Stegostoma tigrinum: one gene and its partner. The protein of the gene in region 1 interacts with the protein of each later gene in a pairwise test. Links are inferred from orthologs where the notes say so. Each region holds a gene or a part of one and is shown in the gene's direction. Other genes may lie near its edges.

Evidence for each region.
Region 2: the proteins of blmh (region 1) and nudt12 interact in binary tests that used the Homo sapiens proteins (3 or more experiments, as listed by UniProt). The two-hybrid records come from large-scale screens. The link is inferred for Stegostoma tigrinum from reciprocal best matches to the Homo sapiens genes BLMH and NUDT12.

Annotation. Positions count from the first base shown.
Region 1 is NC_081380.1:30,031,421-30,046,248, forward strand, and holds the start of blmh (bleomycin hydrolase), read left to right. Parts: upstream 1-7,397; 5' UTR 7,398-7,677; coding exon 7,678-7,687; intron 7,688-13,210; coding exon 13,211-13,408; intron 13,409-14,828. UniProt on the Homo sapiens protein: The normal physiological role of BLM hydrolase is unknown, but it catalyzes the inactivation of the antitumor drug BLM (a glycopeptide) by hydrolyzing the carboxamide bond of its B-aminoalaninamide moiety thus protecting normal and malignant cells from BLM toxicity.
Region 2 is NC_081356.1:83,479,107-83,494,604, forward strand, and holds the start of nudt12 (peroxisomal NADH pyrophosphatase NUDT12), read left to right. Parts: upstream 1-9,601; 5' UTR 9,602-9,654; exon of another isoform or gene 9,655-9,728; intron 9,729-9,864; exon of another isoform or gene 9,865-9,977; intron 9,978-12,194; 5' UTR 12,195-12,210; coding exon 12,211-12,416; intron 12,417-14,077; coding exon 14,078-14,658; intron 14,659-15,498. UniProt on the Homo sapiens protein: mRNA decapping enzyme that specifically removes the nicotinamide adenine dinucleotide (NAD) cap from a subset of mRNAs by hydrolyzing the diphosphate linkage to produce nicotinamide mononucleotide (NMN) and 5' monophosphate mRNA.

The DNA of each region.
Region 1 (14,828 bases):
TTCCCAGGTGTGACTCTGTATATCTGCTGACTTCAGTCTTTTCCCCTCTGCTTCTACAGCAAATACTTCTGTCTGAAAATCCAGCTCTTAAATAACTGAAACTGATACTACCCTTCACCAAATAAAAACCAAAAGAACTGCGGATGCTGTAAATCAGGAACAAAAACAAAGTTGCTGGAAAAGCTCAGCAGGTCTGACAGCATCTGTAGAGAAAGGGTTCTGAGGAAGGGTCACGGGACCTGAAACGTTAACTCTGTTTTCTCCTCCACAGATGCTGCCAGACCTGCTGAGCTTTTCCAGCAACTTTGTTTTTGTTTCCTACCCTTCACCAATATCATTACCTGATGAAGGGGCAATGCTTCAATAGCTTCTGATTTCAATTATAACCTGGTGTTGTCTTATTTCTGACCCTGTCTACCCCAGTCCAACGCTGGCACCTTCACATCATACTTGGATGCCCACAGCATCTCTGTCTTGCCTTTTTTTTGCCTCAGTCAGTGCTCAGAGTTTCACACGATTTCTATCTCTGCTTTTTAGTGTAGAGATAAAGTCAGCTGGCCTGCTACATCAATAATGACCACTTAAGGGAATAGGCATGTTGCTGTTTGGCACCATGCAATATTAATGTCACACCTACACTATGTACCAGCAGTGTATGTGGCAAACACTGTGTAAGTGCTTCAACCAAATAGCCTCCAAGGCCCATGTATGGCAACCAGGAATCAATGCCATGATTGGTGTGCTGACATCAATCAGCATGTATAGAACATTGCACATGCAGCAGCACAGCTTAGAGGGAATATTACTGGGTGACCACCCTATATGCTAAGTCTTTATGGAACTGGATCCTTCCAAGGATCCACGGGGTATCTGTAGGATCTCTCAGCCCTCAACCCACAAATGGATCAAGGCTGTTACCAATGCAATTTGTGCCAAATCACACTCCTTCATCTTGGTTCCTTGTGATGACTCTCAGTGCTGTAGTCCAGGCTTTGCCAACGTCACTAGCTTCCCTCCACGGTACAATATGGAGTGACATTACCATATCCTAAAGTGATGGACTCATTAATGGAAAAGAGTTCCATTCCACCCGCATCTTAGAAGTCTGCAACAGGTGCCCTGGAAGATGCCAAGATACCTATATCCTTCGGAATTCCCATGTTCCTGCTTCAGTTCAAGGGCTAGATGCTGTAAAAGGACAGATGCTGGGAGATAAGGGTTATGCTCTGTAACCATAGGGCATGGCCTTACTATGCAAACATTCACAGAAGGTGAGCAATGCAGTTCACTCTTCCACCAAGGCCAACATGGATTAGAGGACAGCCTTGCTGTTCTGATGGCTTGGAATAGTCTGGTCTGGCCTTCCAGTACAGTCCAGACAGAGGGCCCTGCAAAATCCTGTTATGCTACAACTGTAGCAGGCAAAGAAGAGGTGTAATAGATACTTAAGAGCTGGGACAGGTTCCAAGCGGAATATTGAGCAAGAAGGACATCAGCTTCACTGTGACAGAGTGCTGCAGTGTCAGGCACAACAAGCCAGAATGTATTTAATTGACTAGGTCTAGGATGGGGGAAGTCATCATTCATCAACTGTAAATCTCTTGTTCCTGGAAAGTTAGGCAACCCTTGTTTAGTCCCAGCAGCAAATGCAGCATTTTTGCTGTTCTTTATTCGCTTTTACCATTACTAATACTAACATTTATTAAACAGCTACTTGAAGGCATTACAATATGTTATACACCCACAGCAAGATGTGCCACATTGGGTTTTTTGGGAAACAGCAGTGACACTCAGGATGGATAATCTCCACAGCTGCAGCTACAAATAACATGCCGACAGATGATGATGCAAAGTATTTAGAACATAGAACATAGAACAGTACAGCACAGAACAGGCCCTTCAGCCCACAATGTTGTGCCGACCATTGATCCTCATGTATGCACCCTCAAATTTCTGTGACCATATACATGTCCAGCAGTCTCTTAAATGACCCCAATGACCTTGCTTCCACAACTGCTGCTGGCAACGCATTCCATGCTCCCACAACTCTCTGCGTAAAGAACCTGCCTCTGACATCCCCTCTATACTTTCCACCAACCAGCTTAAAACTATGACCCCTCGTGCTAGCCATTTCTGCCCTGGGAAATAGTCTCTGGCTATCAACTCTATCTATGCCTCTCATTATCTTGTATACCTCAATTAGGTCCCCTCTCCTCCTCCTTTTCTCCAATGAAAAGAGACCGAGCTCAGTCAACCTCTCTTCATAAGATAAGCCCTCCAGTCCAGGCAGCATCCTGGTAAACCTCCTCTGAACCCTCTCCAAAGCATCCACATCTTTCCTATAATAGGGCGCCCAGAACTGGACGCAGTATTCCAAGTGCGGTCTAACCAAAGTTTTATAGAGCTGCAACAAGATCTCACGACTCTTAAACTCAATCCCCCTGTTAATGAAAGCCAAAACACCATATGCTTTCTTAACAACCCTGTCCACTTGGGTGGCCATTTTAAGGGATCTATGTATCTGCACACCAAGATCCCTCTGTTCCTCCACGCTGCCAAGAATCCTATCCTTAATCCTGTACTCAGCTTTCAAATTCGACCTTCCAAAATGCATCACCTCGCATTTATCCAGGTTGAACTCCATCTGCCACCTCTCAGCCCATCTCTGCATCCTGTCAATGTCCCGCTGCAGCCTACAACAGCCCTCTACACTGTCAACGACACCTCCGACCTTTGTGTCGTCTGCAAACTTGCTGACCCATCCTTCAATTCCCTCGTCCAAGTCATTAATAAAAATTACAAACAGTAGAGGCCCAAGGACAGAGCCCTGTGGAACTCCACTCACCACTGACTTCCAGGCAGAATATTTTCCTTCTACTACCACTCGCTGTCTTCTGTTGGCCAGCCAATTCTGTATCCAAGCAGCTAAGTTCCCCTGTATCCCATTCCTCCTGACCTTCTGAATGAGCCTACCATGGGGAACCTTATCAAATGCCTTACTGAAGTCCATATACACCACATCCACAGCTCGACCCTCATCAACCTTTCTAGTCACATCCTCAAAAAACTCGATAAGGTTTGTAAGGCATGACCTACCCCTCACAAAGCCGTGTTGACTGTATTTGATCAAGCCATGCTCTTCCAGATGGTCATAAATCTTATCCCTCAGAATCCTTTCTAACACCTTGCAGACGACAGACGTGAGACTTACCGGTCTATAATTGCCGGGGATTTCCCTATTTCCTTTCTTGAAGAGAGGAATTACATTTGCCTCTCTCCAGTCCTCAGGTACGACTCCAGTGGAGAGCGAGGATGCAAAGATCTTCGCAAGTGGCGAAGCAATTGCATTTCTCGCTTCCCAAAGCAGCCGAGGACAAATCTGATCCGGGCCTGGCGACTTGTCAATCTTAATGTTTGACAAAATTTTCAGCACATCAGCTTCGTCTATCTCTATCCATTCCAGCATGCACACCTGCTCTTCAAAGGTTTCATTCACTACAAAGTTGGTTTCTTTCGTAAAGACAGAAGCAAAAAACTCATTTAGGGCTTCCCCTACCTCCTCAGGCTCCACACACAAGTTCCCTATGCTATCCCTAATCGGCCCTACTCTTTCTTTGACCATTCTCTTATTCCTCACGTAAGTGTAAAATGCCTTTGTGTTTTCCCGGATTCCTTCTGCCAAGCCTTTCTCGTGCCCCCTCCTGGCTCTCCTCAGACCATTTTTGAGCTCCTTCCTTGCCTGCATGTAATGTGAAAGTCAATTTCCAATGCACTGTTAATAAAATGTGAGGCTGGATGAACACAGCAGGCCCAGCAGCATCTCAGGAGCACAAAAGCTGACGTTTCGGGCCTGGACCCTTCATCAGAGAGGGGGATGGGGTGAGGGTTCTGGAATAAATAGGGAGAGATGGGGAGGCAGACCGAAGATGGAGAGAAAAGAAGATAAGTGGAGAGGAGAGTATAGGTGGGGAGGTAGGGAGGGGATAGGTCAGTCCAGGGAAGTCGGACAGGTCAAGGAGGTGGGATGAGGTTAGTAGGTAGGAGATGGAGGTGCGGCTTGGGGTGGGAGGAAGGGATGGGTGAGAGGAAGAACAGGTTAGGGAGGCAGAGACAGGTTGGACTGGTTTTGGGATGCAGTGGGTGGAGGGGAAGAGCTGGGCTGGTTTTGGGATGCGGTGGGGCAAGGGGAGATTTTGAAGCTGGTGAAGTCCACATTGATACCATTGGGCTGCAGGGTTCCCAAGCGGAATATGAGTTGCTGTTCCTGCAACCTTCGGGTGGCATCATTGTGGTACTGCAGGAGGCCCATGATGGACATGTCATCTAAAGAATGGGAGGGGGAGTGGAAATGGTTTGCGACTGGGAGGTGTAGTTGTTTATTGCGAACCCAGCGGAGGTGTTCTCCAAAGCGGTCCCCAAGCCTCCGCTTGGTTTCCCCAATGTAGAGGAAGCCACACCGGGTACAATGGATGCAGTATACCACATTGGCAGATGTGCAGGTGAACCTCTGCTTAATATGGATGTCATCTTGGGGCCTGGGATAGCGGTGAGGGAGGAGGTGTAGGGGCAAGTGTAGCATTTCCTGCGGTTGCAGGGGAAGGTGCCGGGTGTGGTGGGGTTGGAGGGCAGTGTGAAGCGAACAAGGGAGTCACGGAGAGAGCGGTCTCTCCAGAAAGCAGACAAGGGTGGGATGGAAAAATGTCTTGGGTGGTGGGGTCGGATTGTAGATGGCGGAAGTGTCGGAGGATGATGCGTTGTATCCGGAGGTTGGTGGGGTGGTGTGTGAGAATGAGGCGGATCCTCTTTGGGCGGTTGTGGTGGGGGCGGGGTGTGAGGGATGTGTTGCGGGAAATGCAGTCAAGGGCGTTCTCGACCACTGTGGGGGGAAAGTTGCAGTCTTTGAAGTACTTGGACATCTGGGATGTGTGGGAGTGGAATGCCTGATCGTGGGAGCAGATGCGGCAGAGGCGGAGGAATTGGGAATAGGGGATCGAATTTTTGCAGGAGGGTGGGTGGGAGGAGGTGTATTCTCGGTAGCTGTGGGAGTCGGTGGGCTTGAAATGGACATCAGTTACAAGCTGGTTGCCTGAGATGGAGACTGAGACGTCCAGGAAGGTGAGGGATGTGCTGGAGATGGCCCAGATGAACTGAAGGTTGGGGTGGAAGGTGTTGGTGAAGTGGATGAACTGTTCGAGCTCCTCTGGGGAGCAAGAGGCGGCGCCGATACAGTCATCAATGTAACGGAGGAAGAGGTGGGGTTTGGGGCCTGTGTAGGTGCGGAAGATGGACTGTTCCACGTAACCTACAAAGAGGCAGGCATAGCTGGGGCCCATGCGGGTGCCCATGGCCACCCCCTTAGTCTGTAGGAAGTGGGAGGAATCGAAAGAGAAGTTGTTGAGGGTGAGGACGAGTTCGGCTAGGTGGATGAGGGTGTCGGTGGAGGGGGACTGGTCGGGCCTGCGGGACAAGAAGAAGCGGAGGGCATTGAGGCCATCTGCATGAGGAATACAGGTGTATAGGGACTGGACGTCCATAGTGAAAACCAGAGGAGCTCGAACAGTTCATCCACTTCACCAACACCTTCCACCCCAACCTTCAGTTTACCTGGGCCATCTCCAGCACATCCCTCACCTTCCTGGACATCTCAGTCTCCATCTCAGGCAACCAGCTTGTAACTGATGTCCATTTCAAGCCCACCGACTCCCACAGCTACCTAGAATACACCTCCTCACACCCACCCTCCTCCAAAAATTCCATCCCCTATTCCCAATTCCTCCGCCTCCGCCGCATCTGCTCCCACGATGAGGCATTCCACTCCCACACATCCCAGATGTCCAAGTACTTCAAAGACTGCAACTTGCCCCCCATAGTGGTCGAGAACGCCCTTGACTGCGTCTCCCGCATTTCCCGCAACACATCCCTCGCACCCCGCCCCTGCCACAACCACCCAAAGAGGATCCGCCTCGTTCTCACACACCACCCCACCAACCTCCGGATACAACGCATCATCCTCTGACACTTCCGCCATCTACAATCCGACCCCATCACCCAAGACATTTTTCCATCCCCACCCTTGTCTGCTTTCTGGAGAGACCCCTCTCTCCGTGACTCCCTTGTTCGCTCCACACTGTCCTCCAACCCCACCACACCCGGCACCTTCCCCTGCAACCGCAGGAAATGCTACACTTGCTCCCACTCCTCCTCCCTCACCGCCATCCCAGGCCCCAAGATGACTTTCCATATTAAGCAGAGGTTCACCTGCACATCTGCCAATGTGGTATACTGCATCCATTGTACCCGGTGTGGCTTCCTCTACATTGGGGAAACCAAGCGGAAGCTTGAGGACCGCTCTGCAGAACACCTCCGCTGGGTTCGCAATAAACAACTGCACCTCCCAGTCGCAAACCATTTCCACTCCCCCTCCCATTCTTTAGATGACATGTCCACCATGGGCCTCCTGCAGTGCCACAATGATGCCACCCGAAGGTTGCAGGAACAGGAACTCATATTCCGCTTGGGAACCCTGCAGCCCAATGGTATCAATGTGGACTTCACCAGCTTCAAAATCTCCCCTTCCCCCACCGCATCCCTAAACCAGCCCAGTTCGTGCCCTCCCCCCACTACACCACACAACCAGCCCAGCTCTTCCCCTCCACCCACTGCATCCCAAAACCTGTCTCTGCCTCCCTAACCTGTTCTTCCTCTCACCCATCCCTTCCTCCCACCCCAAGCCGCACCTCCATCTCCTACCTACTAACCTCATCCCACCTCCTTGACCTGTCCGTCTTCCCTGGACTGACCTATCCCCTCCCTACCTCCCCACCTACACCCTCTCCACCTATCTTCTTTACTCTCCATCTTCGGTCCGCCTCCCCCTCTCTCCCTATTTATTTCAGAACCCTCACCCCATCCCTCTCTCTGTTGAAGGGTCTAGGCCCGAAACGTTAGCTTTTGCGCTCCTGAGATTCCAATGCACTGTTACCGGTGCCAGCTATATAGCCTTAGAAGCTTTCTTTTTTTCCTGCTATCCGCAAAGTGAAGGGGTATTCCTGAACGGCAGTGTTTGACCTTTTACTCAGCTGGGTTTTAGCTATGCTTTCCTTCGGACGGAAGTGATCCTTCGAAAATTCTGAAATTTCGGAAGCTCAGTTACATGCGAATAACAGTACTTTCCGCTCTTCCTATTTATAGGGGTATCCTTCAAAAGCAATCAAAGTTATTAAATAAATTCCTAACTTATTTTGTCGATCTTGCAATTAGCTAGGGATAGAGGTTTTCTTGGTTGAAGTAACACCAAATCGTTAAAGTTTTGTGTTATTTCCCGCAGCAAAGAGCGCACAGCCTCTGTACAAATGGAATGCATTCTGTCGTCAAGGTGTGTAACAGTGTTGGGTGTTTTCTTTCTTTGCCATTTGAGCGAAAATTACAACATCTCAATTTCCAAAAATGACATTGTACGTAGTCCCGATCCCGCTGTTGAACAAAGGCCAGGCTTAGCCCCCTCCCCGCCAGTTCCTGACAGACACCAGGCTGCCTCAGTCTCTGGACTGCTTCAAGTTGTCTCAGTTTCCTGTTTCCGGTTATTCCTCTAAGACGCTGCAGCTGCTCAGGCTATTTTAAGTTGCAGAAACCAGTGTCTTCTGTAGAAGGGATCTTTTGAGTGAGCCTCGTTACAGGATGCCAGCAGGTGAGAACGTTCTCCTGTCCCTCTCCGCAGCCTGTCTTTGTTGGAGAGCAGGAACTAAGCTATCCCTTTGTGATATCTGTAGTCCCATGCAGTGTGTGTCTGTGGGTATGTGCTTAGGGGTCTGCTTGTGTGAATGGTAGCTGCTCCGACCCGCGAATGGAGTTTGTGCAGAATTCGGTAAATGCTGAATCACCGTTAAGGCCTGCAGGCAGTATGTATTTCTCTGACCTACAGGGTTACAACATCTTCTTTGTGCCGAATTCCCGGGGCACTGTTGCTTCTTGGACCTGCACCGCTGTCACTTTTTGGCACGGGCAATGCTGCTAACTTGCAAAGGAATAAGAATGGCAAAACAAAAGCAACAAAGAGAGGGAGGGTTGGAACGCAAGTTAGTTTTCGGCAGTTGTTTCCTTTCAGCTGGTCCGTTTGCAACACTGTGTTATCTGGGTCTTTTGGACTGTTGGAACTTCTGATCTGGGATCATATGAGTCAAGTACAAGAGCGAAGAACGTTCTTTTCAGGTTGTAGCTGTCTATGTAATGCCTAATGGGTCAGGCCAGATTTAGGAATAACTGAAGCACCAGCAGTCAGTCAGTGCAGAAATGAGGATCATAAAATGTGAGGCTGGATGAACACAGCAGGCGCAGCAGCATCTCAGGAGCACAAAAGCTGACGTTTTGGGCCGAGACCCTTCAACAGAGGGGGATGGGGTGAGGGTTCTGAAATAAATAGGGAGAGAGGGGGAGGCGGACTGAAGATGGAGAGGAGAGTATAGGTGGGAGGTAGGGAGGGGATAGGTCAGTCCAGGGAAGGCGGACAGGTCAAGGAGGTGGGATGAGGTTAGTAGGTAGGAGATGGAGGTGTGGCTTGGAGTGGGAGGAAGGGCTGGGTGAGAGGAAGAACAGGTTAGGGAGGCAGAGACAGGTTGGACTGGTTTTGGGAAGCAGTGGGTGGAGGGGACGAGCTGGGCTGGTTGTGTGGTGCAATGGGGGGAGGGGACGAGCTGGGCTGGTTTAGGGATGCGGTGGGGTAAGGGGAGATTTTGAAGCTGGTGAAGTCCACATTGATACCATTGGGCTGCAGGGTTCCCAAGCGGAATATGAGTTGCTGTTCCTGCAACCTTCGGGTGGCATCATTGTGGCACTGCAGGAGGCCCATGGTGGACATGTCATCTGAAGAATGGGAGGGGGAGTGGAAATAGTTTGCCATCTAGAGGATGGGAGGGGGAGTGGTATCAACGTGGGCTTCACCAGCTTCAAAATCTCCGCTTCCCCCACCGCATCCCAAAACCAGCCCAGTTTGTTCCCTCCCCCCACTGCACCACACAACCAGCCCAGCTCTTGCCCTCCACCCACTGCATCCCAAAACCAGTCCAACCTGTCTCTGCCTCCCTAACCTGTTCTTCCTCTCACCCATCCCTTCCTCCCACCCCAAGCCACACCTCCATTTCCTACCTACTAACCTCATCCCGCCTCCTTGATCTGTCCGTCTTCCCTGGACTAACCTGTCCCCTCCCTACCTCCCCACCTATACTCTCCTCTCCACCTATCTTCTTTTCTCTCCATCTTCGGTCTGCCTCCCCCTCTCTCCCTATTTATTCCCGAACCCTCACCCCATCCCCCTCTCTGATGAAGGGTCTAGGCCCGAAACGTCAGCTTTTGTGCCCCTGAGATGCTGCTGGGCCTGCTGTGTTCATCCAGCGTCACATTTTATTATCTTGGATTCTCCAGCATCTGCAGTTCCCATTATCGCAGAAATAAGGAAGCTGCTTTCCATCAGAGACAATCTGAAGGTCTGATCGAACTAGAATCTCTCCAGGCTCGGTGTTCAGATAGATTGGGGGGGTATGATGAAGTCTCTGTTCTCGCACGATAGATCTTAGCATTCCCAGAGTTTTAAAACAATCCTGCTTTAACAAACAAAATGCTGGAGCTTTTTTCAATTGTGTTTCCTAGATTTTCCCACGTGGTGTATCTGACCAGTAATGAGTGTTGTGGCATTCTGGATATACATACACATAACTATGTAGTTTCGAACTCTAGGAATTTACTAAATTCTGTTAATCTCTTAAATTTGTCAGTACAAGTTACGGCCTGCCTGTTCCCATGTAAGCAAAAATTTAAGTGTGATAAATCTTAATTATTGCCAAGCGACCTCTGTAAACACTGAGAATAAGTTTTACAAGTGTGGAGTTTGATTCCTTCAATTTATAATGATGGGAGATGCTTTTACTTTTTTAAAAATCTGTTTCATAATTCAGTTTTTTCTTGTTTTCTGATATATAATATTAGGTGGACAGGCAGGTCGTACTGAGGAAGTGGGGAAGCTGCAGAAAGATTTAGACAGTTTAGGAGAGTGGTCCAGCAAATGGCTGATGGAATTCGATGTGAGGTTTTGCACTTTTGAAAAAAGAATACAGGCATGGACTATTTTCTAAATGGTGAGAAAATTCAGAATGCTGAAGTACAAAGGGATCTGGGAGTGCTAATCCAGGATTCTCTGAAGGTTAACTTGCAGGTTGAGTCCGTGATTAAGAAAGTGAATGTAATGTTGTCGCTTATCTCAAGAGGGTTGGAATATAAAAGCAGTGATGTGCTTCTGAGACTTTATAAAGCTCTAGTAAGGCCCCATTTAGAATACTGTGTCCAATTTTGGGCCCCACACCTCAGGAAGGACATACTAGTGCTGGAGCGTGTCCAGCGGAGATTCTCACGGATGATCCCTGGAATGGTAGGTTTAACGTATGATGAATGGCTAAGGATCCTGGGATTGTATTCATTAGAGTTTAGAAGGTTGGGGGGGGGGATCTAATAGAAAATTACAAGATAATGTATGGTTTAGATGGGATGGACGCTAGGAAGTTGTTTCCGTTAGGTGGGGAGACTAGGACCCGTGGGCACAGCCTTAGAATTAGAGGTGTAAATTTAAAACTGAAATGAGGAGACATTTCTTCAGCCAGACAGTGGTGAGCTTGTGGAATTCATTCCCACGGAGTGCAGTGGAGGCCGGGACGTTGGATGCCTTAAAGGCAGAGATCGATACATTCTTGATCTCTCAAGGAATCAAGGGCTATGGGGAGAATGCATGGAAGTGGAGTTGAAATGTCCATCAGCAATGATTTAAATGGCGGTGTGGACTCGATGGGCCGAATAGCTTTACTTCCACTCCTATGTCTTATGGTCTTTCTGCTTCAGACTGCAGTGCAAATTGATGATTGTTAGTCTGATCTGCTAAAGGGATATGCACTTGGATGTTCTGGTCACACAGATCCCAGGCCCTATGTAGAGAATCTCAAATTGCACTGTTACAATCTGACTACTGCATGGCCATGACGCTCGCAGTTTAACGTGAACAATGGTATCGTCATTATGAACTGTAGTGTGAACTTTGAGTAAAATAAAGACAATACCTGTAGCAACTAGCTTTTTTAAAAAAAAACTAGCTTACTTACCTCTTAATTCTCAGATATTCCTTGCACAACAATCTTGGTAATGAGTCATTTATATAAACGCCATTTACTGCATTATGGCTAGCTATAAAATATCTTTCATTAGTGTCTCAACTTGCTATTCGATAAATTACTTTTTTTTTGCAGTGACATAGTTGAATATTTCCAAAGTCTGACATTTCATTTATTGTTAAGCCACCTGGGAACATAGTGTTCTGCAGTGATTTATACTGCTGGCCACAAGCTTCATATAATGTATTCTGGGTAAGGGTCACTGGACCCGAAACTGTTAACTCTGAGTTTTTTTCTTCTTCACTGCTGCCAGACCTGCTGAGCTATTCCAGCAACTTCCTTTTTGTCCCTGATTTACAGTAAATCTGCAGATTTTTCTGTTTTTATTTAGCATCACAATGTTTCACGTCATATGATTGAGTCACTTATTTTGTCTCCAGTAAATTTTAAAAAAAATCTTTTAAGAGTGTAGTCTCTCAAAATCTGATATTTCTCACTCATCCTCTCCCCACCTCCTTCCCTAACCATCAATTGTGCTAAGAAATGCAGTCGTTTATTTCATTTTGCAGAAGATGCTACCTCCCTATAGCAATTGATTGCGGACACATGGGCAGCTGAATGTTGTCTTATTAGGAGAGGCAGCACTGAGGCTGTAATTATTGATGTGCATTAACAATTGCACGGTACTGTTTCTAATAAAGCAGCCCTACTGGTCAAGATTATGGCCCAAGATAAAGCAATAGAACTGGTTCTGGAACTCGAGAGGGAGTAGAGATAGTTGGAACTGCAGATGCTGGACAATCTGAGATAACAAGGTGTAGAGCTGGATGAACACAGCAAGCCAAGCAGCTTCAGAGGAGCAGGAAGGCTGACATTTTGGGAATAGACCCTTTTTTTTGTTTTTGAAGAAGGGTCTAGGTCCAAAACGTCAGCCTTTCTGCTCCTCTGATGCTGCTTGGCCTGCTGTGTTCATCCAACTCTGCACCTGATTCTGGAACCTTCTGTTTCCATCTAGCAACATAGCAAGCTTTGCAAATTTCTCCTTTGTGTTTTGTGATGACACATGTAAAAAGTTGTTCATTCCAAAATTTGTTGCTATTAAATCCAAAGTCTTCTGTCTGCAAGTCCCTGTGTGTTCAGGTGACCTAGCAATAAAGGTCAGACTGTGGAAATATATATCAGCTACATCACGAAAGGAAGTAATTTATTGTGTAGTGCATTGAGATGCTAATGAAATATATTTGTAAGTAACTATAATTTTTCCAATCACCTGGCGCCAGTCTTTTTAGAATCTGAATTAATGGTTAAAGTAAAATCAGATCTAATTTTGTTGCATTTGGGTATTATACTTGAATTAAGCTAAAGGCTAGCTAGAGTCAATCTGTTTATAGATCCAAATAAGTTCACAGTGATAGAGTTACATCAGCATTTAGTGAAAATTTTGGCACAGGTAGAAAATTACGCATGGGTAACAGATCTCCTTATCCAACCCAATACATGTGGAGCTGGAGGAACACAACAGGTCAAACAGCGTCAAAGGAGCAACAAAGTTGATGGTATAAATTGTGCACCTCTGAGGCTGCCTGACCTACTGTATTCCTCCAGCTCCACACTGTATTGCCTCTGACGCCAGCATCTGCAGTTTGTGTGATATCCTTATCCAAACTTACAAATATAAATTTGTTTCAAAAAACTGTGATCAGATTTGAAACATTAACTCTGTTTCTCTCTCCACAGATGCTGCAAAACCTGTTGAATGTCTCAAGTAGTTTGTTTCACAGTATACAGCTCTGGTTGATCTAGTCTGCAGTAAATGCTTGAAATTGCAAAAGAATTACCCACACATTTTAAGCAACTTGATCTGGTTTACAACATTTCAAAGACAGTTCAAAATCATTGGTGCAATTTTAGCATCACATTCAGAGCATAGTTCCTTGCTTGCAACAGTAAAGCGACAGAATATAATCAATAAATCCAATGCATGTAAACTAGTGTTGAAAAGAACTTAGTGCATTTTTCTGTGAGACATCAAACCTGACTGTCATTTTTGATACTTGTCATAGGTCTTTGTCCAGAGAAGTTGGCGGCTTTCACCAGAAACTTCTCAGAAGTGCCACAATATAGCCTTGCTCAGAATATAGCAACCAGTGGTGACCTTTTACAAGCTTACCTACAAAGAAAAGTTGTTCAGGAAACATCACAAGTGTTCAAACATGTCATTCCTGCTGAAGGGAAGCCAGTTACAAACCAGAAAAATTCAGGTAACTATCATTTAATGAATTATTCTGAAATAGATAGACACAGAGACCTGAACCTCTTGGAATATTTCATTTTATGCCAGATAAACGTTTCACAATAATAATGAGTTGATATTTATTGTAAGTATGTCCTATTTCGTACCAAGTACACACCCCTCCACTTGTACTGCTGAAGTTCTTTCTAATACTTGTAGTTCCCTTTTGATGTTTACTGCTTGGGAAAAAATTCTAACGGAAGAATGTTGACTTTAATTTAATTGACACCGACTTACCTTCCCAACTGCTGACAAATGTTTGGCAGTGAGCTCTGAAGTCAGCAGTGGCTTTGGTTGATGTAAGTATTCCGAGAGAAAAAGTCTTATACCCCAGTGTCCAGTGTTATGAAAATCAAGTGTCTATGCTTGCCAACTGCACCTGGTGTGAGGTTCATCACCTGAAATGTTAAATTTTGGCTTCTCTCTCCTAACCTGCTGGTGTTTCAAGAATCTTCTGTTATTTCAGTATTGAAGTAGCAGTTGGCTTTTAATATTGTAATACTGCCTATTCACCACCTTCATGAAAATGCTTAAAATGTAATTATTTGTGTTCAACCCTGTCTGAATCTCGCACAAAATACTTGTGCTGAAGCTGCGTGGGATTTTGCCACATCTTCAATTAACACAGCCTTCAACAGTTTTTCATTTCTTAATATCCAGGCCCAGCAAGCTGCTTTTTTTTCTACAACTCCATAAAAATATCAAGATATTGAGGGATATGGAAATACTTTGGGAAAATGCTTTGCAATAGAAGATCAGCCATGACCTGTTGAATAGCTGAGCAGGCGCCTGCTGCTTCTGTTTTCTATGTTCCTGTTATTTTTCATGTCAATTGCAAATATTCATTTTGCTTAACACAGAAGACCTTCTTGTAAATTACTTGGAGGACATTTGTTTAATATCTTAAACTCCATCAAATACTTGGCCTCTTTGATCTGGCATGATTAGAAACCTCCAGTGTTAATCCCACAGCTATCGGAAGAAGAGCAAGATTGTGTGAGGGGGCGAAACTTCTTACAGATATTTCTGTGCTTCCCTTTTTTATTTACTCAGGGAATGTGGGCGTCATTGGTTGGGCCAGCATTTATTTTCCGTACCTAGTTGCCCTTGAGAAGGTGATCGTAAACTGCCTTCTTGAACAGCTGCAGTCTACGTGCTGTGGGTAGGCCAATGCTGTTGGGGAGGGATTTCCAGGATTTTGTTCCTGTGACACTGAGGGAATGGCGATATATTTCCAAGTCAGGATGGTGAACAATAAAATGAGTGATTAGTAATTAATCTCAGTTCTGTTCACCAAAGCTGTGGACACTTGTGTTTGGTTTCTGAAAGCACATTTGCTAAATAGTTATGCAACATTTCTGAGGAGCAATGGCAAGGATGTTGTACGT
Region 2 (15,498 bases), on another chromosome or scaffold:
GGAAACCAGAGCACGCGGAAGAAATCCATGCAGACACGGGGAGAATGTGCAAACTCCATACAGACAGTCACCCAAGGCTAGAATTGAACCCCAGTCCCTGGTGCTTTGAGGCAGCCGTGCTAACCACTGAGCCACCGCATTGCCCAAAATATTACAGAGACACCAGCAAAATTAAAGTCTCTGTTTCCAGTTGAACATTTGTACTAACATAAATTGAATTTTCATGTAAAGTGCCTGGCTGGCTGTTTGACCCTTTCCCATCCATTTTTAATAAAACTGCATCAACATTGATGACACTGGCATCAACAACATGTTTAAGTAGTTTAGCATAATTCAGTGCTGTTAAAACTGTTGCACTAGTCAACATAACTTTCAAGCTGAAAAGACACACTGACAATCTGCTGTATATTCAAAATTTGATCAAATTTGTTCTCAACAAAATTATCCAACGTCTGACAGAATCCATCCATGCCTACCACAAAATTGCTTGTTTTAATTCAGACACTGTAAAATCCAAAATAGATTTTTGTTTCGCTTCTCTAGATGCAACCTGCCTTGTCGCAGTGTGAGCCTAATAATTTGTAAGTTCACTCTTGGTCAGGTTTATTGTTAAATTGGCTCTTTGTAACAGGTCAAACAATTTACAATTGTAAATGCTCTTTTGAAAGAAAAATGCTGTGGGTACTGGAAATCTGAAGCATACAAGGAAAATACTGATGCAAGCGTCTCCAGCATTTCATCTTCATGAATGATCTTCCCAATTCTAGCTGAACATGATCAAACCATCATTATATCTAACATAGTTGCACAAACCTTAATAGCTTTTTTTCTTAATGATTGCAAGGTCGCTGGTGCATTTTTCATTCTGAACGGCATAAATTCATGCTGATATAGTCCACCTGGAATTACGACAGCTGATATTTCTTTGATTGGATTGTTAAATGGTACTTGCCATTATCCCTTTAATGAATCAATTTTTGTCACCAACCATGCTTCTCCAAGCTTTCCAATACAATCCTTCAATCATGGAATCAGATAAAAATCCACACTTGTTGCCACATTGATTTTCTGAGAATCTATGCAAAATCATTGCTATCCATCTAGTTTGATAGCATCACAATGGGTGAGCTCAAGTACTATGATTTGGTGCAAGGATGGCATTTCCCTTCATGAACTTGATTCTTCCCTCAAATGAGCTAACTTTTCTGACTTGAGTTTGTGAGAATTACATTAACATCATGTATGATCAAAGGTGTTTTCCCTGGTCTATTTACACTTGATTTATGAACAGCTGCAATAGATTTCATAAGACACCTTGGTAGTTTTCTGGAAGGCAGCATCATATTCCATCAAACATTTTAAGCACTTCCATTTGATTACTGGAGGGCTGACTTGAAAATTTTCAATTTCTGATTGATTCTCAAATGCTCTGATGTTTTTCTTTTACTCCCTACTTCTCTCACCACAATAAACACATTCCACTCATGGTTATCTTGCCTGTCATTGTAGAACTTTCACATATTAGCAAGACACACTTACAGATTCGTCTTTATGTCTGGAGTATTCACTCCATTTCACATCATTTAATTTCTGTTTGATTTGATATAGTCCAGTGAACCTCTCTTTTCATGGTTCCCCAGAGACAGGCAACACCAACACTTTGAATGGAATTTTCTTTTCTGAGGCTAAATATCATCATGATCCTAAAAATCCAGAAGGACTTCTGCTCAAGTTCTGTTCAGTTCTTCAGAGTTGATTATATATTTTACGACTCTGTTTTATTGCTGGGAGGACAGCAAGTCTTAGATACCACCAGGTCCTTCGACACTTGAACCACCAGGAGTTACATTTAAAAGACAATTTCACTCTATATCTCTAAGGCTATCAAATCAGTTTCCACCCAAACCTGCAAATAATAGAGAGTAGCCAGAAGGCAGTCCAACATTTAGTGGCTGCTCCATTGAATCGCTCTTCCAGGGTATGCATGAGGATAGGATTATCTTGTTCTCCAGGCATGACAACAAGATTCATCCTGCTGGAAAATTGCAAGGTGGTTTGGAGATTGCTGAAGACGTCAGCACACAATCGCACCAGAGGCATGATGAGATGCAGTTCCATAAATGGATGAATGAGCTACTCAGTCAGGGTAGGTATGACAGTCTACTCAGTTCTGTGTGACCCTAAAACTGTGTCCCATCATAATAAGCTTGCCCCCACACAAACCATTGGGTGTGGAATGCATTGCTGGAGAGGGTGGAGGAGTCAGCATCATTAGGGGCATTTAAGCAGCCATTAGACAAGGATATGGATGATACCATAATGTAGGGGTGGAGGTTAGATAGGCCTTAGGTTCCGGGCAGAATTTCAGCACAACATCGTGGGCCGAGGAGGCTGTACTGTGCTGTACTGTTCTATGTCCTATGTTCTATCACAGACACTCTTAGGTGATATCTCAATCACTTGCTTCATGTCTAATCAGTATTTTGAACTTAATTGCACTTCGCCATGTTAGCCAAAGAGTAACACAGTGATACTACATCTCACACATCTGCCATGGTTATACAGTCATTGAAGTCATATAGAGTCATACAGCACAGAAACATACCCTCTGGTCCTACCAGTCCATGCCAAACATAATCCCAAACTAAACTACTCCAACCTGCCAGTTCTTGTTTCATATCCCTCCAAAAATTTCCTATTCATGTACATATCCAAATGTCTTTTAAATGTTGTAATTGTGTCGGCACCCATCACTTTCCTAGGAGGTTCATTCCACACATGAATTTCCCTCTGCATAAAAGAAATGCCCCTCGTGTCTTTTTAAATTATCTCTCTTCTCAAGTTAAATAGTGTCCCTAGTCTTGAAATCCCCATCCCAGGGCAAAAAACACCTACGATTAACCCCATCTATGTTCCTTATGATTTTATAACTTCTATAAGATCACCTCTCAACCTCCTACACTCCGGAGAAAAAAGTCCAGCCTTTCTTTATAACTGAAACCTTTCATACCCAGCCACATCCTGGTAAATCTCTTCTGAACCCTCTGATGTTTGATAATGTTCTTCAAATAACTGGGTGACCAGAACTGCACACAGTACTCCAGAAGGGCCCTCATCAATGTCATGTACAACCTCAGCCTGACTTCCCAACTCCAAGACTCAAAGGACTGACCAATGAAGGCATATAAGCTAAACATTCACTCCTCAAACAGAAAGAGATCTACAACATTCAGTAGCTCATTCACCTTATAACTAGAATAATCTGTTCTTCAAACAATTTTACAAAAGGCTTGAAGAGCACAGAGGAGACAACCTCAAAACCTTGCTTGACATTCAACGCCTCATATAAACATGTCGTCATGCACAGATGTCTTATAAAGCTTGATTAAATTCCATAAATCAAGATCTTTAACCACACAACGCCACTTTTTATTCAAACCTCATTCAATCACAATGTTTCCAAAACACTTTCTTCTCATTCAGAACATATATATAGTGTCACAGCTCTGCAACTTTACATCTGTACCTGTCCCTATCAATACAAGCAAGCTGTTCACATTGCCATGTTGATTGCTTTATGCCTCTATCTTTCTACAGGACAAGATATTGCACAACCAGAGAGACATTGCAAAGAGAAGCAGTAGAAAGCCCAAAGAATAATTTTATAACCTTAAAAAGAGCTAAATCCTTCCAGAATTGAAAAAATGAAAGCCATTTTATTATTCACTTTTGAACCCAATACACTCCGTAACAGATGTTAAACCTCACATGCAAAGTGTGTGTTTTCTTTTTATTCATTCATGAGCTATGAGTATCGTTGGCTGGCCAGCATTTATTGCCCATCTGTAGCTGCCTTTGAGAAAATGACAGGGATCTGTGTTCTTGAATGCTGTGGTCTATTTAGTGTAGGTAGATCCACAATGCCATTAGGGACGGAGCTCCAGGACTTCGACCCAGCAACACTCAAGGAATGTTGTTATATTTCCAAGTCAGGACTGTGAGAGGATTAGAGGAGGATTTGCAGCTGGTGGTGTCCCCATGCATTTGTTGAACTTGTCTTTCAACATAGGAGTGGGCTTGGGTTGGGAAGGTGCTGTCTAAGGAGTTTTGGTGAAATTCTGCAATGTATCTCGTAGATGGCACACACTAGAGTGATTGAGTTTGGTGGTAAAGTGAATGAATGCTTGTCAGTGTGTCAATCAAATGGGCTGATTTGTCCTGGATGGTGCCAAGCTTCTTGAGCATTATCAGAGTTGAACTCATCTAGGCAAATGGGGAGTATTGCATCATACTCCTGACTGTGCCTTGCAGATGGTGAACAGGCGATGCAGAATCATGAAGTAAGTTACTCACTGTAAGATTCCTTGCCACTGGCTTGCCCTTGTAGCCATTGTATTTATATGGCTTATCTAGTTTAGTTGCTGTTCAATGGTAAGCCCCAGGATGTTGACTGTAGGCTCTTCAGTGATGGCAACACCATTTAATTCCAAGGAATGATGGTTAAATTCTCCTTGTTGGAGATGGACATTGCCTGGAATTTTTTTTATTCATTTGTGGGATTGCTGGTTGTGCCATTGAGAAATATATAATGAGCTGCTGCCTAGAACTACTGCAGTCCATTTTCTATAGGTAGATCCACAAGGCCATCAGGGAGGGAACTTATGTGATGTGAATGTTACTTGTTACTTTTCAGTCCAAACCTGTATAGTGTTGATATTGTTGCATTTGAACATGGGTTGCTTCAAAATCTGAGGAGTCACAAATGGTGCTGAACATTCTGCTATCATCAGCAAACATTCCCACTTCTGACCAGATGATGGAGGGAAGGTCATTGATGAAGCAGTTGAAGATCATTGGACCTAGGACATCACTCTGAGGAACTCCGGCAGAGGCATCATGGAACTGCGATGATTGACCTCAATGTCCACAACCAATGTCCTTTAAGCTAGATATGGCTGCAATCGGTGGGCACTTTTCCACTGACTCTCACTGATTCGAGTTTTGCTAGGACTTGCTGGTGCCACACTCAGTCAAATGTGGCCTTGATGTCAAGAGCTGTCTCTCTTCCTTCACCTCCGTTTTGTCCATGTTTGACCCAAGGCTGTAATGAGGTCAGGAGCTGAATGGCCCTGGTGGAATTCAAACTAGCGGTCACTGAGAAGGTTATTGCTGAGCAGCTGCTGCTTGATAGCACTGCTGATGACAACTTCTATCACTTCTACATGACCAAGAGTAGACTGATCGGCAATAACTTGTCCTGGATTTGTCCTGCTTTTTATGTACAAAACATACCTGGACAATTTCCTGCATTGTCACATAAGATGTCAGTGTTCTTTTTTAAATGAACTTGCTAACTAATGGCATAATAATTAATGACTGATTTAGTTAAACAATGAGGTTCCTTGATTTCTCTACCCAAGCTAGATTTACCTTTCGAGGTAAAAATAGACTTCCCTATTCTCCTACCAAAGCATCCAAACCCTCATGGTTACATCTAAAAGGATTTGTGCATATTGAAGTACATTTTCTTCCGAAGGTTGACAGGGCTGTTAAGAAGGCATACAGTGTTTTAGCTTCTATTAATAGAGGGATCGAGTTCCAGAACCAAGCGGTTATTGGTGAAGCTGTATAAAACTCTGGTGCGGCCGCACTTGGAGTATTGTGTACAGTTCTGGTCACCGCATTATAAGAAGAATGTGGAAGCTTTGGAAAGGGTGCAGAAAAGATTTACTAGGATGTTGCCTGGTATGGAGGGAAGGTCTTACGAGGAAAGGCTGAGGGACTTGAGGCTGATTTCATTAGAGAGAAGAAGGTTGAGAGATGACTTAATTGAGACATATAAAATAATCAGAGGGTTAGATAGGGTGGATAGGCAGAGCCTTTTTCCTAGGATGGTGACGGCGAGCATGAGGGGGCATAGCTTTAAATTGAGGGGCGAAAGATATAGGATAGATGTCAGAGGTAGTTTCTTTACTCAGAGAATAGTAAGGGAATGGAACGCTTTGCCTGCAACGGTAGTAGATTCGCCAACTTTAGGTACATTTAAGTCGTCATTGGACAAGCATATGGATGTACATGGAATAGTGTAGGTTAGATGGGCTTGAGATTGGTATGACAGGTCGGCACAACATCGAGGGCCGAAGGGCCAGTGCTGTGCTGCAATGTTCTATGTTCTATTTAAACTGCTGCTTCCGCTCAGCTTTAACACAATTATTTCTAGTTTTTCTTCATTCCAACTAAACGTTTTTTTCTGGCAGCGTTTTTATTGCATGCCCTCCACACCGCCAACCCCATAATAGTTACAATGCAGACAGCCATTACGAATTGGTAAAGAATGCAGGCTTTAACAGTGCATCAAGTTGGTGATATTGACATTTTAGTCATTCTAAATGAGGACTCAGATTTTCAATGAGCAGCTAATTAGACATGGGGTCATGTAAGTGTTACATTGATTTTTTACAATAGTATCACAAACCAAGGGAGAAGAAACAGAAGGAAATGTGAAAAGATGTAATAAACAGATTCTGATTTGTCCCCATTCTTATTAACACCTCCTTAGCCTCAGCCTACTGCACTCTACAGATCACAATCTCAACCTCCTGTCCAGACTTTCTCAAACCAGAAGAAAGGTTTGGCATTAACATGCACTGATAAGCATGTCGTTGCCAGCACCATTTTATTCATAGCCTTGTGATTTAATCTAATACTGGACTCAATTTCACTGAACGAATCACTTCAGTAGTACATGAAACTACTTCAGAGTGATCCAGGTTTGACAGCAGAAGACAGTCTGGATCAATACTACCTTCAATAGTATTTCTGTTATTTATTCCCTATGAGAATGAAAGCAGAAAACAGGAAAAATGGACATCCCAAGGGAACAAATGAAAACAGCTCAGCAAGGAAGCTTCTTGTGCGGGATCACTCATAGTGGCATTTTTCGTGGGCCCAGTAGAACTCAATGACAGGTCTGGCAGGTAAATACGACAACGGCATCCTGGCAAAACATATGTGAATGTATGCAGTGGATTGATATCCTCAACAAGAATCAGACTGGTTAAAGAAGCTCAATTGTATTCTTAGGTGTACAGGCTAGTGTGTTTTCAGACATATTGTAACCTCTCCTTCTGCTGTGCATGTCTTTTTGAGCAACTGTTGGTACCATTAAACATATGACTTTTGTAGCAAGGACCATCTCCATTACATGTGAACACATGGGGACCCCAGCAAAATGGGGTAAATCCAAACAAAATGGGTTTCTGCCACTTTTTCCTGACATTCGCACCCAAGGAAATGGCTGAATGTATTGGATTCATTGACCTCCTTCCTCTGATCAATGGGGGCAGAGGGGGTGCCATCAGCTGTGGCTCAGTTAGCAGCATTCTTACCTCTGGGTCATGAGTCGTACTCCAAGATTTCTAAACAAGATTGTACGCTAATGCTCCATATAGGTAATGAAACAGTGTCATGCTGACAGAAGTGGCACCTTTGAACTTGAGTAGCACGTGCATATAGCACACTGTCTTCCAGTCATGCAGAGCCCACATTCAAGACTGACTTGTGTGTCACAGGAATATTGGTTAGTGAAAGGCTGATCTGCTGCCTTTTGAAGTATCTGGTGGCTAATGGGAAGGTATGTGGCTTCCATTCTGCCACTTTCCGATCCCTAGAAGATTAGCTTTTTCTCTTTTCTGACCTGTCCAATGTTTCTACCAGAGGATTTCAGCACATGTGCTTTTTATGCAGACACCCAGCAACTGCTGCTTCTAATTCTGGGATAAATTTCACCTATTCCCCATGATGATGACAGAAATATGGGGAATCAAGGCAGAATGTAAATGAATAAAATATTGGGTGCCACAAAAATAATTGAAGTGGGAAATAAGTTGTAACAGCACAGATTGGTTTGGAGGAGTCAATGATCATTGAAAAATCATCTACAATGGAAAAAAAAGGTGCAACATAGACCAGATTGTTCTCCAGTGTTTTTTATTTAAATTGTTCATGGGATGCCAGCTGGCTAGGCCAGCATTAATTATCCATCCCTAAACAACTTGAAGAAGATGGTGATTAGCTACATTCTTTATCCTTTACAGTCCATGCAAATAGGTACACTTACAGCACTGTTCGGAAGGAAATTCCACCAAGGGGCCTGAGGCTGCATCTTTCAAACTCACGGCCACTACCATCTAGAAGGACAAGGGCTGTAGATAGATGGCAAAACTGTGTGGAGTCAGTCCCCACACTATAAGAAAGATGTAGAGACTTTGAAAAGGGTGTTGCTTAGACTGGACAGTATTAGCTGTAAGGAGAGGCTCGACAAACATGGATTGTTTTCACTAGAGTGTCAGAGGCTGAGGGATGACCTGTTGGAAGACCCTGGGTCGGATAGATAGTCAAAATCTACCTCCCAGGTCGAAATGTCAAATACTACAGGGCATAGGTTTAAGGTGAGAGGGGCAAAGTTTAAGGGAGATTGCAAGGAAAGTTTTTAACACTGAGGGTGGTAGGTGTCTGGAACACACAGCCAGGGTAGGTGGTAGAAACAGACGATAGCGATGTTTGAGAACAGTCAGAGAATAAAAGGACAAGCACCTTATGCAGACAGTTGGGATTAGTTCCCAATAGCATAATGGTTGGCACAGACATAGAGGGCTGAAGGGCCTGTTCCTATACTGTACTGTGCTATGTCAGTGTCTTGACTTCATTCATTTAGTGTCACAGGGTCAAAATCCCGGAACTCTCTCCCTAACAGTGTTGTGGATCTCACTACAGCAAATGGACAGTAACAGTGCAAGAAGGCAGCTCACCCCCAGTCTTCTCAAGGCTAAGCAGTAATTCTTGCCCAGCCTACTTTCATGAATGCACTTAAAAAAAAGGTTGGGGTTAATTTTGGAGCATCAGTATTTAGTACTACTACGAAAATGTTATCAGGGTTTATAGTCTTTTTAGTATTATATGCATCACTGGGCTACCAGCTGGAAGTCAAACCCTACAGAAGTCCCCAATTTGCCACCGTCATATCAGATTGACAGAGAGTATTTCCATCTCGTCCTCTCTATATTAATGATTGTCTTCAGATTCTGTCGGTTACAGTTTAGATGCAATGACAGCAATTGCAATGAGCAAGTTCTACACAAAAAAAAACAGAAGTGGCTGGAAAAGCTCAGCAGGTCTGGCAGCATCTGCAAAGAAAAAAAATCAGAGTTAACGTTTCGGGTCCGATGACCCCTCCTCAGAATTGAGGGTCACCGGACCTGAAACACTAACTCTGATTTTTTTTCTTCACAGATGCTGCCAGACCTGCTGAGCTTTTCCAGCCACCTTTGTTTTTGTTCCTGATTTACAGCATCCACAGTTTTTTTTATCGGAAATCCAACAAGTTCTGCAATAACTACAACTCCCGGAATGCAACGAGCGAAGCCGGGAGCTTCTCAGTTATAAATTATTACATCGCCGATCTTCGCGTATTTAGTTTAATACAAAAATAGTGGCGGCTCTAGTTTTAAAAAGATGTTGCACCTTTTGGCCCAGGATATTATTTTGGAATGTGTCAATGTGCTCTGAACTGTCAGCTGTAACCTCAGGAAGCTATTGTCAGCTTTCACACTGAGATATTGACCGCGCCCCCGCAGCCTGACATTGGGTTTGACTGTAAGTTTGCGAAGTATCTCAGTATCGTAAAATGTTTGCATTCACCCAGCGCTCGCAGTCCTTGAAGGGAAACAGTGAGTCACCCTAAATTTAAGCCAACCATTAATTTACTGTTCAAAAAGGCTGGAGTCTAAAAATGACGTTGAGTCTCTGCTTTGATTATTAGTCCCGGAAGTTCATCCAGTTTCGTGGCAGCAGTGCACTGCGAGAAGGATGAAGTTTTTAGGGGTTGCAAAGGAGCTCGGGTGGCCTGAATTCGGTTTCGTGCTCAGCATTGAACCGAATAAAGAGAGTAATCCTCGAGTTAGTGATTGAATCAATAGGTAAAATTCAGGGAATAGGCAACGTGGGCATGCATAAGCTGCTATCTGCAGCATACTTTGCAAGTTATTCATATTATTTAAGTAGTGGGACAAAATTTTATATATAAACGTGAAACAAGGCGATTTCTTCGAAAATTGAGTGGCGAATCGGTTAGCTAGTTTTTCATCCCACTTCATTACACGCACTGGTTGCCAGCTGGCAGCTTTTTATTGTATGTTTCTGCTGGAAGACTGACTGGATCCTGCACTCCATCCATATCGAGTTAACACAACAGCCTTCAAGAATCCGCACTAAAAACAGCACTGAACAAGACAAACATCATGTGGGAAGAAGAACATAAACAGGATTAGAGATAATAGGAACTGCAGATGCCAGAGAATCTGAGATAACACGGTGTGGAGCTGGATGAACACAGCAGGCCAAGCAGCTTGAAGAAGGGTCTGGGCCCGAAACGTCAGTCTTGCTGCTGGTCTGACGCTGCTTGGCCTGCTGTGTTCATCCAGCTCAAAACCTTGTTATTATAAATAGGGTTAGCAAGCATATCGTGTGTGAAAACTGATCTGGGAACAGAAAGAGGGACAAATTTTCTTTAGAAACCCTGCTGGAGTAAACAGGGCATTTGACCCAACAAGTCCACACCCACCCACCGAAGAACATCCCACCATACCCATTCGCCTAATCCTACATTTTTTCTGTCCAGCAAATCTAACCTACGCAACCCTGAACACTGGGTAATTTAGCACAGCCAATCCACCTAACCTGCACATCTTTGGGTTGTGGGAGGAAACTAGAGTACCCAGCAAAAACCCACCCAGACACAGGAAGAACATAGAAATGCCAGTCGCCCGAGGCCAGATCGAACCTGGGTCCCTGGCGCTGTGAGGCAGCAGTGCTAACAAGTTTATGAAGAGGATAGAACTAGGGAAATGGAGGAGAGACAAGTTAGCATATCCAAAAATTTGTAACATGATTATAAGAACAGGACAGTTTACTGGGAGTTGTGATTAAGAAGACACAAAGAAAAACCGAGGGGGCGAGCAGCTTCCGAAATCCATTAGGTTCAATGGCCTGTAGTTGACAGGGAGAAACACAGGTAGATGCCAGATATACCAACTATCCTTCCAGCTGTGTCAGGAAAAGTGATCCCTATTCCATATCCTCCATATACCAATCCTACAATACCAGACTCCTTTTGAAGAATAAGAAGGAATCTGTGATTAAAGTGATAAACTGTTAATATCAAAACCAGTGAGCTACAAAAAAAGAATTAGTTGCTCTTCCTCAAGCCTCATTCCAATGTAGAAATGCAAGGATAGAGTTCAATGCGCCAAGTGACTGGTGTCCCTCTTGCTGATGGAACAGATATGCTGTATGAAGCAGTTAACCACACTATTTGTCTCCTCAGTGTGGATAGGCCCACAGTAATGATTAGTGAATACAGTTATTAATTTGGCAAAAGTATGAGCTAATCACTGTCTCACCTGGAAAAATATTTAATGTAATTGGTTATTTATGGAATGAATGATAAATTATAGGCGATAAAGTAAAAATTGCTCAAACCTATCATGGTAGCAAAAGTTGTAAAAATCCTGAAATCATACTTTCTGCTTATACAATACATTTTTAAAAAAAATTCATTGTAGATATACAGATAATTTATTTTTAAATTGATTCTTGTGTACTTTGATATTTTGATCTTTAAGGGATAATTTATATGTATTTTATAAACATTTTTAATTGGGACACAGCAAATTGAAAAATGCCAGCTGTAAAGTAATCATTGTTAGCAATCAATTTTAAAATAAAAAAAATAGAAATTGTATGTTGACACCATTCTGTGTACAAAATGCCTATCAGGGAATCTTAACGAAATAAAAATGGAAAATGGTGGAAATACACAGCAGCTCAGCTAGTATTTCGAAAGGAAACAGCAGGTTAATTTGCTGTGTGTGACCTGTACTCAGAACTAGAGAATTAATAGTTTTGAAGGCAGATCTCACCTGAAGAATCCTATCTTTATGGTTCTGATACTTCCAGCATTTAAATGATATTTCTAGTGTTTGTGATTTTTTTTATAAAGGATTATTTCTGTTAATCAAAAATTGTGTTATTGTTTAGTATTTATAAGTCCTTTACACCTCACATTAGTTCCACATGTGCAACAGACTACGTTACTTGCATTGAGTGTAATTTACTCCCTGTATTTACTTTGCCAGATTAGGTGAAATACAGATGGCGAATGCTGAAAACAGTCCTGAGAAAGAAATGGTCATACAGTTCCTCCAGAATGCTGCTACAGGAGATACAGAAAAATTGTCAACTGTGTTAAATTATTCTCTGTCTCTCATCAACAAAGTCGATGAAAAAGGTTGGACCGCCTTGATGTATGCTAGCAGGAATGGACATTTTGAAGTTATTCAGCTGCTTCTTGAAAAAGGGTAAAGTGGCAGTCTTTAACGACTAGTTTTGGCAATTGCTCAGTGATAGCTGAGGGCACTGTGCTGTAGCTAAGCTTAGTGGTTCACATTCGATAAAAGTACTCCTATTTTAAGTAACTTTTTTGAAATTTAACATGACTGTGATGACCAAATTAAGATTGAGGTATTCTGAAACAGCATCTAAGCATCTTTTACTTGGCTTCTCGTAGAAATTGACAAATCACACGTTTACAGCCAATAACATTCTATCATCTAAAATTAATTAACAGAAAATTTGTAAACTAGGTGTGTACCATTTTATGGTGGCACTGGCAGAAAACAGCTAAAGCTGTTGTGGTAATTTTGTACAGTGCCTGAAGCAGCACCTGCACAAAGAGTGGTAAACTGAACCATGAACCACAACACGATAACTAATTTTGTTTAAATTTATGTGAAATATTAAAAATAACTGTTGAAAAAATTCCTTTTACAAAACAGTACAGATTTATATTAATAAAATTACCCTGATCTACAGTTTACAACCCACTTGCAATTCGAGATAGGAACATGATTATAAACTGTTCAAAGCATCTTCACTTTGCAGAACGGTTTCAACACTCCTTTTTTTTTGATTGAAATTTTCTGCATTCTTTCAAAAGCTTTGACATTTCAGTAGATATGTTTCAAGCAATGGCAAGTAAGATGTGGTAACTAGGGGATACGGTGGCTCAGTGGTTAGCACTGCTGCCTCACAGCACCAGGGACTAAGGTTCGATTCCAGCCTCGGGTGACTGTCTGTGTGGAATTTGCACATTCTCTGTGTGCCTGCCTGGGTTTCCTCCAGCCGTTCCAATTTCTTCCACAGTCCAAAGATATGCAGGTTAGATGGATTGTCCATGCTGAATTGCCCATTGTGTTCAGAGATGTGTAGATTAGTGGGATGGGCCTGGGTCAGATGCTCTGAGGGTCAGTGTGGACATGTAGGGATGAAGAGTCTGTTTCCACACTGTAGGGATTCTATGATCTATCATCTTACCATTAGTTATGAGTGAGGCACATTTGGTCTTCTGGACTTGCTGCATTGGTTTCTGCCAGTCGCATTATTGCAAGCTTCTATGTTAAAGAGATTAGAATGTGAGAAACCTGAGTGACTTGCAGCCAGGGCTACAAGTTGGAAGAATCCATCTTTGTAAGACTGTGCTATTCATTAGATAAATTTGCTGAGTCACTGCAGACCTCACAACCTAATCAATAACTTTGTTTCGGAGATAGCAGGAACTGCATATGGTGGAGAATCTGAGATACCAAGGTGTAGAGCTCGATAAATGCAGACCCTCCGGTCTACCCCCGAATCGTCAGCTTTCCTGCTCCTCTGATGCTGCTTAGCCTGCTGTGTTCATCCGGCTCTACACCTTGGTACCCTATAGCTTTGCATTGCGTATTGTTTACACACTGATTTCTATGTGGCATGTTCTAGCTGTTTTGGCCAAATGGCTGAAACACAATCTAGTTAAAATATTTTAGCAGTGACCAGCAAAGTTCCACTAGTCTCCTAAGTACCTCGGAATTGGCTGATAGTGTTAGTTTGTAAAGTCTTCAAAAATAATCTTAAAACTTAGGTCAGAACCCTGTCTTGTACTAAATCTAATTTAGGGCACTGTACACCTTTTGTTTTCCTCTAGGTGTGATAAATCTATTTCAAATAATTCAGGACAAACAGCACTGGATATTGCAGAATTCTGGGGACACAAGCACATTGCTGATTTGTTGGCAAACCCTAAACCTGATGCTAGATCAAGGATGTGGTACGATGGCCCAGAAGAAAATGAGAATTATTTTGGCAGAACTTTGCTCAATAGATTAAGTTTAAAAAGGACCAATTCTGATTGGATAAAAAACAAACAGATACAGCCGACCACTGTCTATATTTTATTTTCCAATCTAAATCCATTAGTTATTTCAGCAAAATGTGAAGACTCTGGAAAAACTGACATCCACCTCTGCAGATTGCAGTATGGTGATGTGGAGCAGCTCTTGGCTAATCCAGAAGTCACTTCTGTTTTCCTTGGAGCAGAGCAGCAGGGTGTGGCTTGTGCTAAATTTGCAGTAGGAAGTGCCTTAGCAGAAGATAATGGGCTTATTGCTTGGTTTGCAATAAATGCAGAAATTGTAGCTCCTGAAAACTTTAGGGTTAAATACCCAGATTGTCATTTTCTCCAGCCACTCATCCCACATCTATTGACCTTAAATAAGGAAGAAGCCGGTGAGTACTAATACATTTAGAAATGCAACCTGCACTCTGTGGATGTGAATAGGAAAATTAAACAGTCATTGCATAATCTGTATTTTCACTTATATTGTGCTTGAGTTGTAAAATTACAATAAAATACTCGATTAGGAATACTAAAGGCATGGAATAAGAAAAGGGTATCAGCATAATCCTTTTCAGTGTCCTGAAAATAGGTTCTGCAACACTTTTCCCTTACCCTCCCCAAAGTTAATTTAAAATTTGTATTCTGTTTGAAGTATTAACCAGTTGTCTTCCATGATATGACATTTCAATGAGTTCAGAATACAGGGTCCACAGTTTTCCATAACCCAGTTCATTATGTTTCCTGTTTTATCCTTACTGTCTTCGATGTAATTCCTAAGCAGACTGTTCTTGAAGATGTTTATTAGCACTGCTTTAAGTATTGTATCTGGGAGTCTAATCTACCTCTCTTAAAATCAGCTTAGAAGGAGACCATTTGTTTTCTGGTATCCATGCTGACTCTCTACAAGAGCAACCCAGGACCATTGTCCACACCTGCACCTTTCCTCTCAAGCCGTGCAAATCTTTTCTTGTCAGATCATTAACAAATCCCTTTTGAGAGGCACCAGTTGAATTTGTCTCATCACAATTCAAGCAATGCATTCCAAATCCTAACAATATTGAACATAAAAAATATCCTCATGTTGTCTTTGGTTCGTTCCCCAATTACTTTAAATCATTGTCTGGTTGTACACAGCGTTACTGACAGTGAGAATAGTTCCAGATCGCACATCATTTTTAAACACTTCTCACATATGCAAAATGCAGAATGGGGTCCTCCTCATCTGGAAA